2 linked regions of the Pelodiscus sinensis genome follow. The protein of the gene in region 1 binds, or shares a complex with, the protein of each later gene. Links are inferred from orthologs where the notes say so. Each region holds a gene or a part of one and is shown on either strand. Other genes may lie near its edges.

Region 1 (7,676 bases):
CAGTTCTCATTTTTTTTAAACAAGTCAGTTTCTATGCTCACAATTTTTATATACTTTACCCAACCACAACTGTTTTGCATTTATATTAAAAAGAAACAGCACTCACATAACCTGTTAACTCTTAAGACATTATATGCGTGTTTGTATACAAGATGGCTAGTTTGATAATTTAAAAACAGCTAATAAAATGTAATTTTGAATAATGTCTTATTTTATTGCTCCATATCAAACATGGTGTTCTCTTGTTATTGGCAGGCTATTCAGACAAGTTCAGAATTTTCAGAAAAAAATGATGGGCTGGACCTTCCAGTATATTTGGCATTGCAGAGAAGCCCAGAGAAACCCCAAAGCCAATGTGTCCAGCTATAGGAGAAGTCTGCATGTAGACACTCTAACAGTTCCTATGTCAATCACTATTCTGGCTGCTGACTACAGGGTATGTGGCCCAGAAGACAGGAGTAGCCGATAGTCCCTTATACCCCAGTGATCCCCAGCTTCTGTAATAGTCCCTTTCAGACCCATATGCAGGAATTTTGGGGGTGTGTATGTGTGTGCTTTTTTTGTAAATGTGGAGGTTAGTTTTTTTAAATAGAGATTTCCTGCTGCTCCTTCTCCCCAGAGTGATATTTAAATCTGTTTTGAATAAAAATTGGAACAACTGCAATATAAGGGACAGTTTTTTATAAAGGGCTTTATTTTTAAATAATTTTCATTTAAATTTGAAATGGTTCCTTATTTTCCAGTTATATTCCAGTTGTGCCTAAAAACCAATTAAAAAAAAAACTAATTTAAACAAGAATAATATTAGTAATACACGGAATCAAACAAGTTGCAGTGAAATTGCCTATATACAGCCATTTCAAAATAAACTGTCAGTGATAGAAAGCTAACACGTACATTTAATCAGTTTGTCTATTGTTGCTTTATATTGGCGTCCTAACTGGTAGCCATCTTTGCTACCAAGCAGCGCTAGTCGCCCAATGACTGTGGGTCGCCCAGCAGGCCCCAATTATATCCTATATCTGGGGTGCACAAGACGTCGATTGCTGTCGACTCGTCAATCACAAGCAGTCAACCAATAGATCATGAAGCAGACTGGCAGTCCACTTCCCCGGCCACCTGAGAGAACTGGGGCAGAATCAGCCTGTCTGGCTGGGGTTTGGCTGTGGCAGGCTGCCCCAAGCCATGAGAGGGGCTGGTTGCTGCCCTGTTCCTGCCACAGCAGCCCAGCCCTGCCCTCTGCCTTGCTCTTGGGTGGGGGTCAGCCCCAGCCTTTTCCTGGCCGGCCGAAACATGGGGGAGGGAGGCTGGGGCAACTTGAGAAACTATACGAAGGGCGCATTCACATCCTTCGCACCACCCCCTGAACGGGCTTGCCGTAGGACTGATGGCCTTGATGCATATTGGAGCAGACTTCAGGCTGCTCTGACTTGCACTTAAGAGTCCAATTCATTCCCCCACCAACCTGCCACAAGGTGATTCCTTGGTCACAACTTGAAGATCTGGCTCTCTATCAGTAAGTATATACTGCAAAAAAAGAACTGCAGTAGTGAGTCTCAGAGCATGGATCAAATGACTCAAGCTTGGGGAGCTTGCACTATGAGGCTAAATATTGCAGTGTAAATATTCAGATTGAGAATGGTGTCCAGACTCTTGAAACCTGGTGAGAGGGGTGGGTCTCAGAGCCTGGGCCCAAGCCCAAACCCAAATGTCTTGTACGCTGCTGCTGTTACCCAATAGCATAAGACTGACTTGGTTTACTCAGGCTCTCTGACTTACAGCTGCAGTGGTTTTATTTTTGCTGGGTAGACTTCTGCCTCCAATCAGCTGGCTTTTGATGTCTTTTTTTTCCCCTAAACATTGGCGGCACAATCAAAGGATTTGTTCAATACAATACATACATAAAACAAAAATCTTAAGATGTGTCATTTAGCTAATATTTCCTGAAATACAGCACATCTCCTGGGGATTATTGATTAGCTGTGAAGGACTGATGTCCTGATAGTGGAAGGTCATCAATCCCAGCTGGCTACCACTCCCTGGGAAATGCCTCCACACTAAAATCATCTTTGATTTTAGAAACAGGAAATGGAAACAATAAAAAAGGGAATGTTGATGTAGTTTTCAGTTGTTCTGAATTAGGCAATGTTAGAGAGTTAATGATATGTACATCAGCTATATTGCTAACTCGTCACTTGCCATCCATCTCAGTTTATATACAAATTCAAATCATGTAACAGGGAAATACTGTGAAAATAAGATGGTTATAATCAATGGGCTCTGCATTTCTGGATACTTCAGAATAATCTTTGAGAACCTTGTTTTATACATGAAGTAAAATGCAAAATCTCTTCAAAATACATATATATGATGTTACATGCTGATCTCTGTTTCAGCAGTGTAGGTCTGATCTTTTAATTGGATTAAATTAGATCAGTGAATGGCTAAAAGTCAAAAGTCCTCGGAGATAAAGATACATGCTTACAACTGAGAGAAGAATTTAACAATGCATGCTTATGAATGCATGCATTAATGTAGACAACCCCCTTGGTATCAGGTTTATATGGGTACAATTGGGGGCAGAACTTGTCCCCTAGAGAGAGAGACACTATTCTGAGGGCAGGAAGAAACATCATTTCTCCCGTCACCAGGACATGATAGATGTTTCTGCTTCTTTGCACTGTACCAGTTGGTTTCAACCTGCACTCCGCAGACTTATGTCTAAGAGGTCCATGGAACAGTGGAGAGTCCACAGACTACGTTTTAAGATTTAGATAGGGGTCCACACCTGCATTTGAAATTGTTTAAGGTACACAAATGAAAAAATGTTGAAAACCATTGCACTAGACAGAAGAATGAAAGGGGGGAAAAGGTGGTTGTAAGCCACTTTGTGCCTCTTGAATTCACTGCTTCAGGGCAACACATGACCCTTTAATGACCATGGACAACAAACTGTATTGCATAAAACAGGCATTATCCTAAGAGCAGGACAGATCTTTCCATTGTCCCTTTGTTGTTGGTAATACTGTCTTCTTTATTTTGCTGTTTATATGTGTGTGTTCTATTAGTTCATCTTTTTGCATATTTTTATTACTTAAAAGGGACAAATTCTTACCAGTTATACTGGTTTCAATCCAGAGTAACTACATTGAGTTTAATCGTTCATTTGGATTTCCATTAGTGTAAATTAGACCAGATTCTGACTCAGTATTAGATTAATCCTGGTTTAACATAAGGGCCTGATTTATCACTTTGTTACTCCAGTGTTGCTTTCATGTAGCTCCTTAATCTAGTTGCCCTGTTCTTAAAGGCTGGAAGCTGTATTGGTGGCTGAGATGATGTCACTTTCGCTGTAAGGAAAGGAACTTGCAGAAACCTTAGTGCCATTGGTGGAAGTCCTGCCAGTTCCAATTGTTATGGGATAATATACTTACCCACTCTTAACATGAATCCGGTTAGGATCCTCCTCAAAAGGAGGGGAAAGGGATGCTAAATAACCAATGACTTTTAGGAACAATGTCTCTGGCTAATTATCCATTCAATCAATCAGCTTCCCTTTTGAAGGCTATTTCTGCCCCAGTTCATTGGTTGATTGCAAATAGCTAAAACATGCATGTTCTGGAAGGTTTTTTTTTAATACTTCTGTATATCCGGTATATGTCTTTAAAATTCTTTCTCTGTGTAAGAATTCCTAGATTATGCTGCCATCTGGTGGAAAGACAACATCACAATCCTTAGTTTGAAATCACTTTAATACATTTTTTGTAACAAAAGCTTTTATGCTTCCCAACTTCAAATATCAGGGAAGGGATCAGTGATTTAAAAATGACACACTTAGCCATATTAAAAGTATAAATGATTTTGGTGTCAGCAAATAGGAAGATACTAGCTATTACCCTGTCCCCTGCCAGAAACATTTCATCTTGTTTGTCTTTGAAGTGCTGCATAGTCCTGTCTTTTGTTTATGCTCCAATACATCTGTTTAGTCTACAAGGTGCCACTTTAATACAGAAACCCAGTGTTGGGGATGGGCCCAGGCGGTCTCAGGGTTCCCCCTTGGCCCTGGGAGAAGGCAGCGGGTGGAATGAACAAGTCTCCTCCTTTCCCTACCTCCCGAAATGCTGAGCCTGCCACCCCAAACAAGAGAGTAGCTCTCAAAACGTGGGAGGGGCAGTGAGCGCTAGAGAACTACGTCTCCCAGCATGCAAAGCTCAGCTACTGATAGGGAACGCGACGGCCCACTTGCCGCGCTGCATGCTGGGCGGTGTAGTTTGATGTGGCTGCATTACACGTGAAGGCAGAATCCCGATGTCAGTAACTAGCCCTGTAAGGCGGGGGGAGGGGAAGAATACGCCTCTGCGATTCCATTTCATGCAAATAAGGCGCCCACCACCCCAGCCAGATCGCCATGTAAATCCCTATGGGAGAAGCTCTATCGGAGAGCCCACAGCAACAACACAGGCCGCCCGTCGGTCTCGCGAGACCCGCTGGCAAACAGCCCTGTCGCTGAACGGACAGTACCAAATTGGCCCCGCCGTTCCACCTCTCAGCCTATGAGCTTTCGACGTCGCGCCTGGGGGTTCCACGAGCCAATGGCCTCCTCCTCCCCTCGCAGGCCGCGCCGTCTAACCAATGGGAGTAGGGCGCGCGGCTCGGGCCCGTTTTCATCTTCACGGCGCGCGCCCCACGCCGCCGGGATGGTGGGCGGTGCTTTAGCCTGGTGCGAAGGAAGATGGCGGCCCCGGGCAAACGGAAACTCGGGGCCGTCACTGGCGGGCCGAGCGGGAGCGGCGCCGGGTGCAGTAAGCGCGGCTCGGGGGCTGCCAGGCCAGAGGGGAGCGGCCTGGGGCAGCCGCCGTCGCCCTTCGTGGAGGGCTCTGTAGTCAGGGTCACCATGGAGAACTTCCTGTGAGTGCGGGGCAGCAAGAGCCGCGGGGGGAGGGCGTGGCTCGTGCCAGGGGGCTACCGCGAGTCCCTGGCCGCTGGGCTCCGCCAGGCCGTGAGGAGGAGCGTGTGGAGTATGTGGCGCTCGGGGGGGGGGACCTAGCTCCGGGAGTCAGGGGATCGGCCCCGGTTCCTGGAGCTGGGTTGTGCCAGGGGCTGATGAAACTGCACGGAAGGGCCGTCCTACCCCTACTATCCTCTCCCACAGTGAGAGGGAGCCGGCTCCCAGTCCGCCCCCTCCTCCCACCCCCTGACAGGTGGCAGGACTGTTGGGTGGTGCCTGTGCTGGGCCAGTGTGGCTGATGTGGCTCCTGACCCCCCTCCCCTCCATCCAGTGATCATGGTAGCCAGTTCACAGGCCTTTTGTAAGATGTGGGCAGGGTGTGTGTCACTGGCGCAGGGTGTGTGTCACTGGCGCAGGGTGTGTGTCACTGGCGGTACCTTTAGTGTTGGACAGCACCACTGCACACAGCTTGGGCAAGGTGCTGTGTGTTGGCTAGCGCGTTCTTCTCATGCCTTATTTGGAACTGTGTTCCCCATCCCCAGAAAAAAAATAGTCGTAGCCTTATGGCTGGGGACAAGCAACCTGGATGTTTGCTGAACTCTGCAGACAGGCTGGGAAAGGACTGTGTTTGGAGTTGTGGGCTGGGCTTATTTATCACAATAAGTAAACACCAAGGCCTGTCTATGCTAGGAGATTAGGCTGAATTTTACTGCATAAGGTCAATTTTTCTAAAAAATGAGTCCACGTTATCAAGCCTAAGCTGATCTGTAATCGTTATGGTAACAGATAAGCTAATGCTTCTTGTATAACTATTTAAGCAGTTAAGCTATTACATTCCTAGTGTAGATCCAGCATGGAGGAAGTCAAGGTTTTTGTCCTCCAGGAGGCAACTCAGTGCCATGCTCTCGCCAGAAATTGTGCCTCTACTGATCTTCAAGTGAACAGGAAAAGACCTGGGAAAGTTTGAATTTTCATTTCCTATGTGGCCAGCGTTGTGAGCACACCTCATAGTAATCCGCATACCTGGTCATGATTCCCATAAATTCGAATTCCCAGGGTGCCAGTTCCCAGAGGTGCAAAAGACCACAAGCATAGAGTGTGCAGGAGATCTTGGACCTCATTGAGGCATAGGGTGAAGAATCCATTTTGTCTGATTTCTGAAACAGCAAAAGAAACACTGATAACCATGCTAAGATAGCATGGTGCCTGGTGGAGAGAAAATACTCCAGGGACTCCTAACAGTGCAGAGTTAAAATAAAGGAGCTGAGGCAGTCCTATTACAAAATAAGAAGCAAATGGACTCTGGTGCATGGCTGTAAAAATGCTGCTTTTACAAATTGCTGCATGTTATCCTACGGGGGGACTCGACCCACTTCCCAGGCCAGATTGTGGAATCCTCCCAAGACACACGGGGCAACAGAGTGGAGGATAGGGAGGTGGTGGAAGAGGACGAGGAGGACAAGGAGAACAGCCAGCTTGTGAGTGGTGAGCGCCGCCTACTTTTCATCACTTTGGAGCCAATTCCCTCCTCCCAGAACATCTCACAATCAAGCAATAATTCTGGGGAGGACACTTCTGGTGAGTTCACAATTTTTTTTCCTTGGATGTGATGCATAAACTGTGCTACATGCAAGATGGGGGCACAGAACAGCTTGTTAATATATCTGGAGATGGAGAAGGAATCCTCCCTGCATATCTCCATGAAGCTCTCATAGAGGAACTCTGATCCCTCTCACAGTGTTTCTGGGGAGACCAGCCTTATTCCATCATCCATGGTAGGACTCCTTCCCATGCTAAGTCAGCAGTAAGTGGTCTGGTGTCACTGCAGCACAAAGCCTGGCAGCATAAGGCCCAGGTTTCTGGCCACCTTCAGTCAACATCAGCTCCCTATCACTCTGTGTGAATTGGAGAAGACTGATATCTCGCATGACAACTTGGATGAAGGAGCGGGAGAAGCTTTTAGCTGCTGCCTCTGCTGCTAGCATGGCTTCAGACTCTGCTATCCTCCTACCCCTCAGGCTCCTGCAAGATGGGAGAATAGCGTTCTCCCAAGAAGCAGGTTGTAGTGAATGCAGAGGAGGAAAGCCACGTGAGTCACTGTCCTGCCCCAGCGTCCTCCCCCCCGCCCGCAGGATCATGCCCTGGCAGGCCCCTTACCATGCTTGCCTCCAGATTGTGAGTCCAGAGGCTCTCTTGAGAACCCTGTTGTGTACCTGCTTTACAGTGTCTGCTTTAAAGCATGACTTTGGCCTTGCAAAAGCTTATAGGTTAATTCTTTAGACCAGTGTTTCCTGATTTTATTTGGCCATGGAACTCTTTTCAGCTTAAAATATTTTCAAGGAACCCCTACTGGGACCTACTACCCCTGCTATGGGTATGCATTTAAAATGTATTAGGAGCCAGGTGGACTGGCAGCCTCCTAAGTTCCGGTTCACACTGGCCCTATTCTCGGGGACTATAGAATAGTTGACTAACTGATAAGAATTCCTGAAGTTAATTGACTATTCAATTAACTGATATTGAACATCCCTACCTTGCACATTTTCATTGTCGTTAGAGAGATCTTCACTGTATATTTATAGATTAGGTTTTAGACTCCACAATGCATCTCCTGTAATGTGTGTCCTTGTAACTTTGTTACAGTGGGAACAGCAGGGAGCTTGTTGCATACTCCCTGGCTCCAGCAGCTGTCCAAATTACACAAATCCGCAGGCAAAAATGGACAAGA
Region 2 (7,145 bases), on another chromosome or scaffold:
TGAAATTCAAAATCAAATTTATGTTGTCTAAACACAAGATCTGATATACTCTGTTTCTGACTCTCAGGAACTAACAAGGCAGTGGAAAAATATTATATGAAATTACTGGATTTAGTTTACTCAGGTAATAAAGAACTAATATGCAGGCATATCCAAACTGTAACCTCATGTTGGCTGAATGTATTGCCAATACTAAATTCAGTATAAAATACATTTTACTAAATTTTCATGTTTGATAGCAATGGGATGGGTCAGTTGATGATTATCTGTTCTGTTTATTTCCTCTAGGGCACCTGGTGTTGGCCACTGCTGGAAGATACTGGGTTAGATGGACCTTTGTTTCAACCCAGTATGGCCATTCTTATGCAAATTAATTACTCAAGACCAACAGGTTTAACACAAGCATGCCAAAAGGCTAAAACACCCTAAAGAAATAGTGCTACTGTAAGAAAATGATGGCTCAGAGAGAGATTTAACAAGAGCAAAGTAATATTTACCTTAAAGTAACTGAAATCAAATATGATATCCCCATACTTCTGTTGATCAGCTTTGTCTCTGAGCCTAAAAACACCAGGAATAAACTCAGACAGTCTCAAAAGTTCTGCAATGATAGCATTTCCACAAGAGACAATCCGAAGAATTGCCTGGCCACAGTGATTGTTTTCAGCTAGAAAATCAACCATCTTGAAGATGATTGTGACTGAGTAGTGATATTATTGCAGTCTCTTTCTGAGTTTCAATCTTCATGTCATTTGGAGAAAGAAGTGTAACTGGAAATATATGAGGTCCATTTGAAATTCCTGTAAAAACAAATTGCATATTCAGCATATTTTAAATGACTCAATCTACAAGAAATTAAAGCAACTCTGGAAAATCTATAGTAACAGAACTCTATATTCTCCAGAAATTGTGATTAGATGACAGATGAAAAAATAAACACGGTAGTGCATCTTCTGCATCTAAACAGCAGTTACCTAATCATCTCAGAGATTAGATTAAAAATTTACTGGATAGCTACTAAAGGGCAAAATAATCAGAGCAGGTGTCAGGCCTTGCAGCAAAATGTAAACATTGACACAAGGATTGCACAGAGCAGTTTAGATCTACAACACAACACAAGCAAATATGCTACAGCATAGATCAATGACAGCTAATTACAGTTCAGGGTCATTTATTCATTGCTACACAGACACCTTTTGTATTGTGGTTAAATTTCCAAGCCATAGTGATCTTTCTCCAAGTCAGAAATCTTAATTTTCCCAGTTAAAAAGAGCCCAAGAACACCTTAACCAGCTGCAGTGTTTATATTTGTCTATGTGCCTCTATGTGCTAGGGAACTCCTAGGCCCTCTCTCCCCAAAGAAAGAGAACATTATAAGAAAACAAATATGTTGCTGCTTTACTCCCAGGTGGTATTGGTATATTTCACTGTACTATATTGCACAATGTATTTTAATACTAATGGAAACCAGTAACAATCTCTTTCCAATATAGCTGAAATATTTATCTAATATGTAGTCCTCTTTTACAAAAGGGGTAAACATAAATGTGAAGTTGCACTTCCATATACTTTACAGAAATATGCTTTTGAATATGAATATGCCTAACTTGAATATGATTTGTGCAATATATAGCATATAATTCTATTTGAAAAGCATGTAATCCACTGAATGTGTATAATCTATATATGCATGTATCGTTTCTGTATTCTCTATGATCAAACCTGTCACAATAAATATAGCCATTTTATAGATAAATTATCTGACCCACAGGAATAAGTTAACTGAGCCACAGGAAAGTTATATTACTTGCCCAAGATGACAAAACAAGTAAGTGACAGAGGTAGGAAGAGAAGGTAGGTATCCAGAAACACAGCCTGAGCTACAGTTGTCACTGGAGCAAACACAGAGCGCAAACAAGGCTTCTTAAAACAAAATCACAAGTGTTGCAAGCACCTCCTTCTTCATACAATTTCAGTCAATACAATCATATGTAAAGTATGAATAAGAAATGAAAATTATGTCTTAAGCTTGCAAACAGTTCAGTTAAACAATTTGTTTCATTTTTGCATGTCTCTCAGCTTGGCCAATGGAAATCAAAGGCAATTATATTTATGATCACTTTCCCTGTGAGATATTTACTGCAACAATGTCAAAGACATCTGTTTTCATTTTTAAAAACCATCTGTGGAAACTTTTGTATTTATATTAGACTCACAAAAGCTTATTTTAAGAAATGTTGAGCTAAATGCAAGTTGAAAGCTTCTCCTTTAAAGCCACTCTGCTACAACACACCTAGTAAGGGTCCAATCTTTCTCTTAAGTACACAGCCCTGGAATGAATTTTGCATGGGTGCAGAAGTTGGCCTGTACAGTACTTATTGCAGGACCAGGGCCTAAATCAAGGAGAGCATGAATGGGCTTTAAATTATTCCTCATCCTGTTCTTAAAAAAATGGTTTCTTGATTTTAAATGAATATCACATTAAAATATTTCTAAGTCAGCCTGACAGTTGTCCAAAAGGAATAATTCGCAGAAGCGGTTAGGTCTTGTTCCCTGGGACAGAGAGAGGCCCTCATTTTGGTGTAATTATTAAAGGCTGCTTTTAGCAGTCAAAGGCTTTTGCTTTTGTTTCAGCTACACCAGACTAACACGGCTACATTTCTATCGCTTTTGCACAGTATGTTTCAAGGGGATACCCAAGAAGTCATTTGCATTCACCCAGCTGTGATCTCCAGCATGTGCGTTGGAATACACCTCAGCCCCACTCGCTGCCCGCCCCTGCGCGCAAACCATTTTCCTTTGCACCAAATCCGCAGCCACCAGGCACTTGCGCGGTATCCTCTCCTCCAGAGAAATGCCCAGAGAGTGCTTGACAAACACCCCCCACTTTCCCACCAGCACAGCCAGCCCCACACTAATCCCCAGCACCCCCTCAGCGCAGGACCACCCCAGAAATAACCGCCCCCAAAGTCACAGCATCCCCCAAAGTCATAGCACCCTCTCAGCACAGGACCACCCCAGAATTAACTGTCCCCCAAAGTCACAGCACCCCCTCAGCGCAGGACCACCCCAGAAATAACTGCCCCCAAAGTCACAGCATCCCCCAAAGTCATAGCACCCCCTCAGCGCAGGACCACCCCAGAATTAACCGCCCCCCAAAGTCATAGCACCCCCTCAGCGCAGGACCACCCCAGAATTAACCGCCCCCCAAAGTCATAGCATCTCCCAAAGTCATAGCACCCCCTCAGCACAGGACCACCCCAGAATTAACCGCCCCCCAAAGTCATAGCACCCCCTCAGCGCAGGACCACCCCAGAATTAATTGCCCCCAAAGTCATAGCACCCCTCAGCACAGGATCACCCCAGAATTAACCGCCCCCACAGTCACAGCATCTCCAAAAGTCATAGCACCCCTCAGCACAGGACCACCCCAGAATTAACCGCCCCCCAAAGTCATAGCACCCCCTCAGCGCAGGACCACCCCAGAATTAATTGCCCCCAAAGTCATAGCACCCCTCAGCACAGGATCACCCCAGAATTAACCGCCCCCAAAGTCACAGCATCTCCCAAAGTCATAGCACCCCCTCAGCGCAGGACCACCCCAGAATTAACCGCCCCCAAAGTCACAGCATCTCCCAAAGTCATAGCACCCCCTCAGCACAGGACCACCCCAGAATTAACCGCCCCCCAAAGTCAAAGCACCCGCCTCCTCAGGGGTGGGTGGAGCCCCTGCTTCCCCCCTCCACCCCAAATATGAGCCCCCCAAGAAAGACCAGGGCCTGTCAACCCCCCTTACTGAGCCAGTCGCGCCCCGGTTGCTGGCCGGGCTCCCCCAGGCCTCTCAGGCCGACGCAGGCGACTGCAGGCCCGGCCGCCCCACACGGAAGCTCTCCGCGCAGCGGCCCGCCTACCCCGCGCCGGCGGCCCTGGGTCATGTGCACCGGCGCCGGCTGATGAGTCGGTTCCTGCCCGCGGCCCGCCTGCGCCGCGGAGAGACCTCGCCAACGGTGGGGGGGGAGGCGAGCGCGGCCTGTTGCCGCTGCCGGTTCGGGGCTTGGCACCAGGTAGGGGGGCAGCTGCGGCCCCGCCAGAGCTACGGGCAGAGTAGGGGTTGGCGGGCGGCTGCTGCTAGAGGGGGAAGCAGCCAGCAATGAGGGGGCGGGGGAGAGGCTGGCAGGCCTCCCTCAAGCACTCAGCTGTGTGTGTGTGTGTGTGAGAGGGTGTGTGTGTGTGTTTAGGAGTGTAGTGTGTGTGTGTGTGTGTGATGCTCCCCACTTAGGTTAGACTCCAGAGGCTGCTCCCTAACAAGATGCATCTGTTGCCCCTGAGGCATCTCTTGCAGCTCCCTCCAGCATGGGTCAGTCTAGAGCAGGGTGGGCAATAATTTTAGACGGGAGGCACTTCAGAAATTTTTGAAGTGGCCCCTGGCCACTGTGGAAGGGGAGGGGCCAGGACACTTCTTGCTTTCCTGTCCACAGACCCCGATTGGCCTGGGTGACCCTGTGAAGTCTTTGCCCTCACCCCCCCCCCCCCATAGAGAACCACCAGCTGTTCCCTCTAGGCACCCATGTCCCTGGCAGTGGGCAAAAGGGCGCCCCTTGCAAGGTGGGGACAGGGAGAGAGAGGCTTTGCTTGCTCCCCCTGCCCTCCGGTCAATGAGGGCATGAGAGCAGGGCAAACATGGGGAAATTTCTTGCTCCCTGCCCCTGCCCCACAAGGGGGCCTGGCAGTTGACTCTAACCCTTACAGGGTGGGAGGAGACTGCACGCTTCCCTCCATCCCCAAGCTCTGCTTGGCCTACGGGCAGGCAGAGGGGTTGGGGGGGGAGAACATGTGAAGTCTCTCACTCCATGTCCTGGCCCAGCAAGGGGTGCCCTTTTGCCCACCCCAGCCAAGTGGCAGTGCTACTGTCACCTCCATGCCTGCCAGGCAGAGCCTGTGGTGTGGCCCCAGGATAGGAAGGCCAAGATGGCAGACTTGCATGTTTCAGATGTTTCAGCTGGAACTCTTCCCCCATCGGGTTGCGGAGGATGGGGAGAGATGGGGTTGGGGATCAGCATTAGGACAATGAAGACAGAAGAACAAAGGGGAGCACAGAGTGTCTGGGAGGGTGGCCTTGAGAGTAAGGATGTGTTAGGTAGCAGGTAATTGACTAGTCATGTACTCAATACAATTTATACTTACTACGTTTAAAAGGCAGAGCTTCTTAACTACATTTAAAAATTAGAGGTGTGGTGGTCCAGGACCCGGCGTGAGCTAGGATTGCTGAATCCCATCTTGTGCTGGGTCCACTGCTGCAGCTCTGCCTTTTAAATATAGTATCATTGATACAGTTTGTAAATTATACAAAAATTGGGGTCCTGGTAAATAATGAAGAGGACAGGTCACTGATTCAGAGCAATTTGGATTGCTTAAAAGCTAGTTCCCCCAGCACTGTCTCTGCAGTGCTACCTGTCCCCCCACCCACACTGCCTCTATCAGAGGCAAATTGTATCAACTATGATGAGTCAATTACCCTCTTCTTAACATCCTTACTAAGGAAACTACAGTGTCAGAAACACACTCCTCATCCTTCTGGCAGCAGCTAGAAAGCAGTGCAGTATAAGCATAAATATCTGAATAATGCAATGACATAAAACACAAAGTAATGCTGTTGGAAAACATAATCTGAGCTATACCTACAGTGTGATGAGTTGTACTAGCTAATTTAGACCTCAAGAGGGAGATCAAGGAATCATGGTGAATAGTTCACAGAAAACATGTTCAATGTCCAGGCAGTCAAAATAGGTAACAATGTTAGGCATCATTAGAAAAGGGAAAGATAGTAAATAAGGATATAATTTTGTCATGGAAGTTATGGATTCCATGACTTTAATGGACCCATGTGGCTTCTTTGACTACAGCTGCACCACACCAGGAGTGTTGAAGCAGCTGTCAGCCTCCACCCCTGCTCCTGGGTCTGAAGCAGCTTTAAGTCACCCCACCAACAGGGTGGATCTCGGATTGTCAGGTTCCCCACCTTACAGACATGGATTTTATGAATTTTTGTTTGTTGCCTGTTACCTGTCTGTGACTTTGAAAAATTTCTATGGCAAAATCTCAACCTTAATAATAGAACAAAAATATCCTAATACCTCTGTATAAATCCATAGTATGTCCAAATCTTTAATACTGCATGTAGATTTGGTCATCCCCTCTCAAAAACGATATATTAGAATTGGAAAAGGAAAGGGAAGCAACCCCATGCAGTGGGTGTCCTTAGCCTCTGTTTGCTAGCAATTTAGAAGAAAGATTGGATGGCTAACAGTTAGCAACTACCTTGAATCATATTTAGCCATCCAATCTTTCTCCTAAATTGCTAGGTGAAAACTTTATTTTTAGTCTTTTGGTGCGCTTTTAGAAAGATTGTCTTCTCACAGTGTTTTTTATATATATACTTTAAACTTTATACTGCAGAATCCGCAGTGTGTGGAACTGCTGAGATTTTAAAAAGTTTAAATATTTTTGTCTTTTTGGTCTTAAATATAGTGTGTTTCCACTAGTAAAAACTGCAAGGTTCTTGCCCGCCCGGTGCTCAGGGGCCAGAAGGAAAGAGCCACCCATCTCGGCTCAGGGGCAGCTCTGCTTCCACCGCGGTGATCTGGAGACTCAGCCCCCTCCGTCTCCTCTCCCCATGCTCTGATGGCTCAGTCCCCTCCTTTCCCTTTCCCTCCCCTCTCCTTGTGTTCTGCAGGCTCAGCTCCCACTGTCTCTACTCCATGAGGTGCTGCACTGAGCCAGGCCGCATTGGCACGTGCACAGGAGCGGTATGTTGAAAATCCCATGACATACGGACAAGAACAGTGGCTGCTTAGAAAGATTCTCTAAAAAGATGGTCTAATAAGCTTTATACTGCAGAGCCTACAGTGAAGCCTCCCTGAGAGTGGGGTTACCAGTCCCTGTCGGCTCTGCTCCTGGAGAGGAGGCTTCCCTGCCACAGAGGAGCTGGTGAGAGCTGCTGGCCCTGCTCCTGCAACCTCTGGTGGGAAGGCTGGGCCAGGCCCATCACAGACTCTGGCTGGCCAGAAAAGCCCCTGCTTGCCAAGGGTCCTGTGGGGTTGGAGTAGCCCCCTGATTGGAGTGGGTGCGGAGCTGCTCTGGCCCCT

The links.
Region 2: SMC5 (region 1) and NSMCE2 share a complex: the UniProt entries of both Homo sapiens proteins name them as parts of the SMC5-SMC6 complex. The link is inferred for Pelodiscus sinensis from reciprocal best matches to the Homo sapiens genes SMC5 and NSMCE2.

Annotation. Positions count from the first base shown.
Region 1 is NC_134716.1:32,820,464-32,828,139, forward strand, and holds the start of SMC5 (structural maintenance of chromosomes protein 5), read left to right. Parts: upstream 1-4,536; 5' UTR 4,537-4,732; coding exon 4,733-4,908; intron 4,909-7,676. UniProt on the Homo sapiens protein: Core component of the SMC5-SMC6 complex, a complex involved in repair of DNA double-strand breaks by homologous recombination.
Region 2 is NC_134712.1:18,605,954-18,613,098, reverse strand, and holds the start of NSMCE2 (E3 SUMO-protein ligase NSE2), read left to right. Parts: upstream 1-3,917; 5' UTR 3,918-4,064; intron 4,065-7,145. Other genes in the region: WASHC5 (WASH complex subunit 5), read right to left, coding at 498-683. UniProt on the Homo sapiens protein: E3 SUMO-protein ligase component of the SMC5-SMC6 complex, a complex involved in DNA double-strand break repair by homologous recombination. Is not be required for the stability of the complex.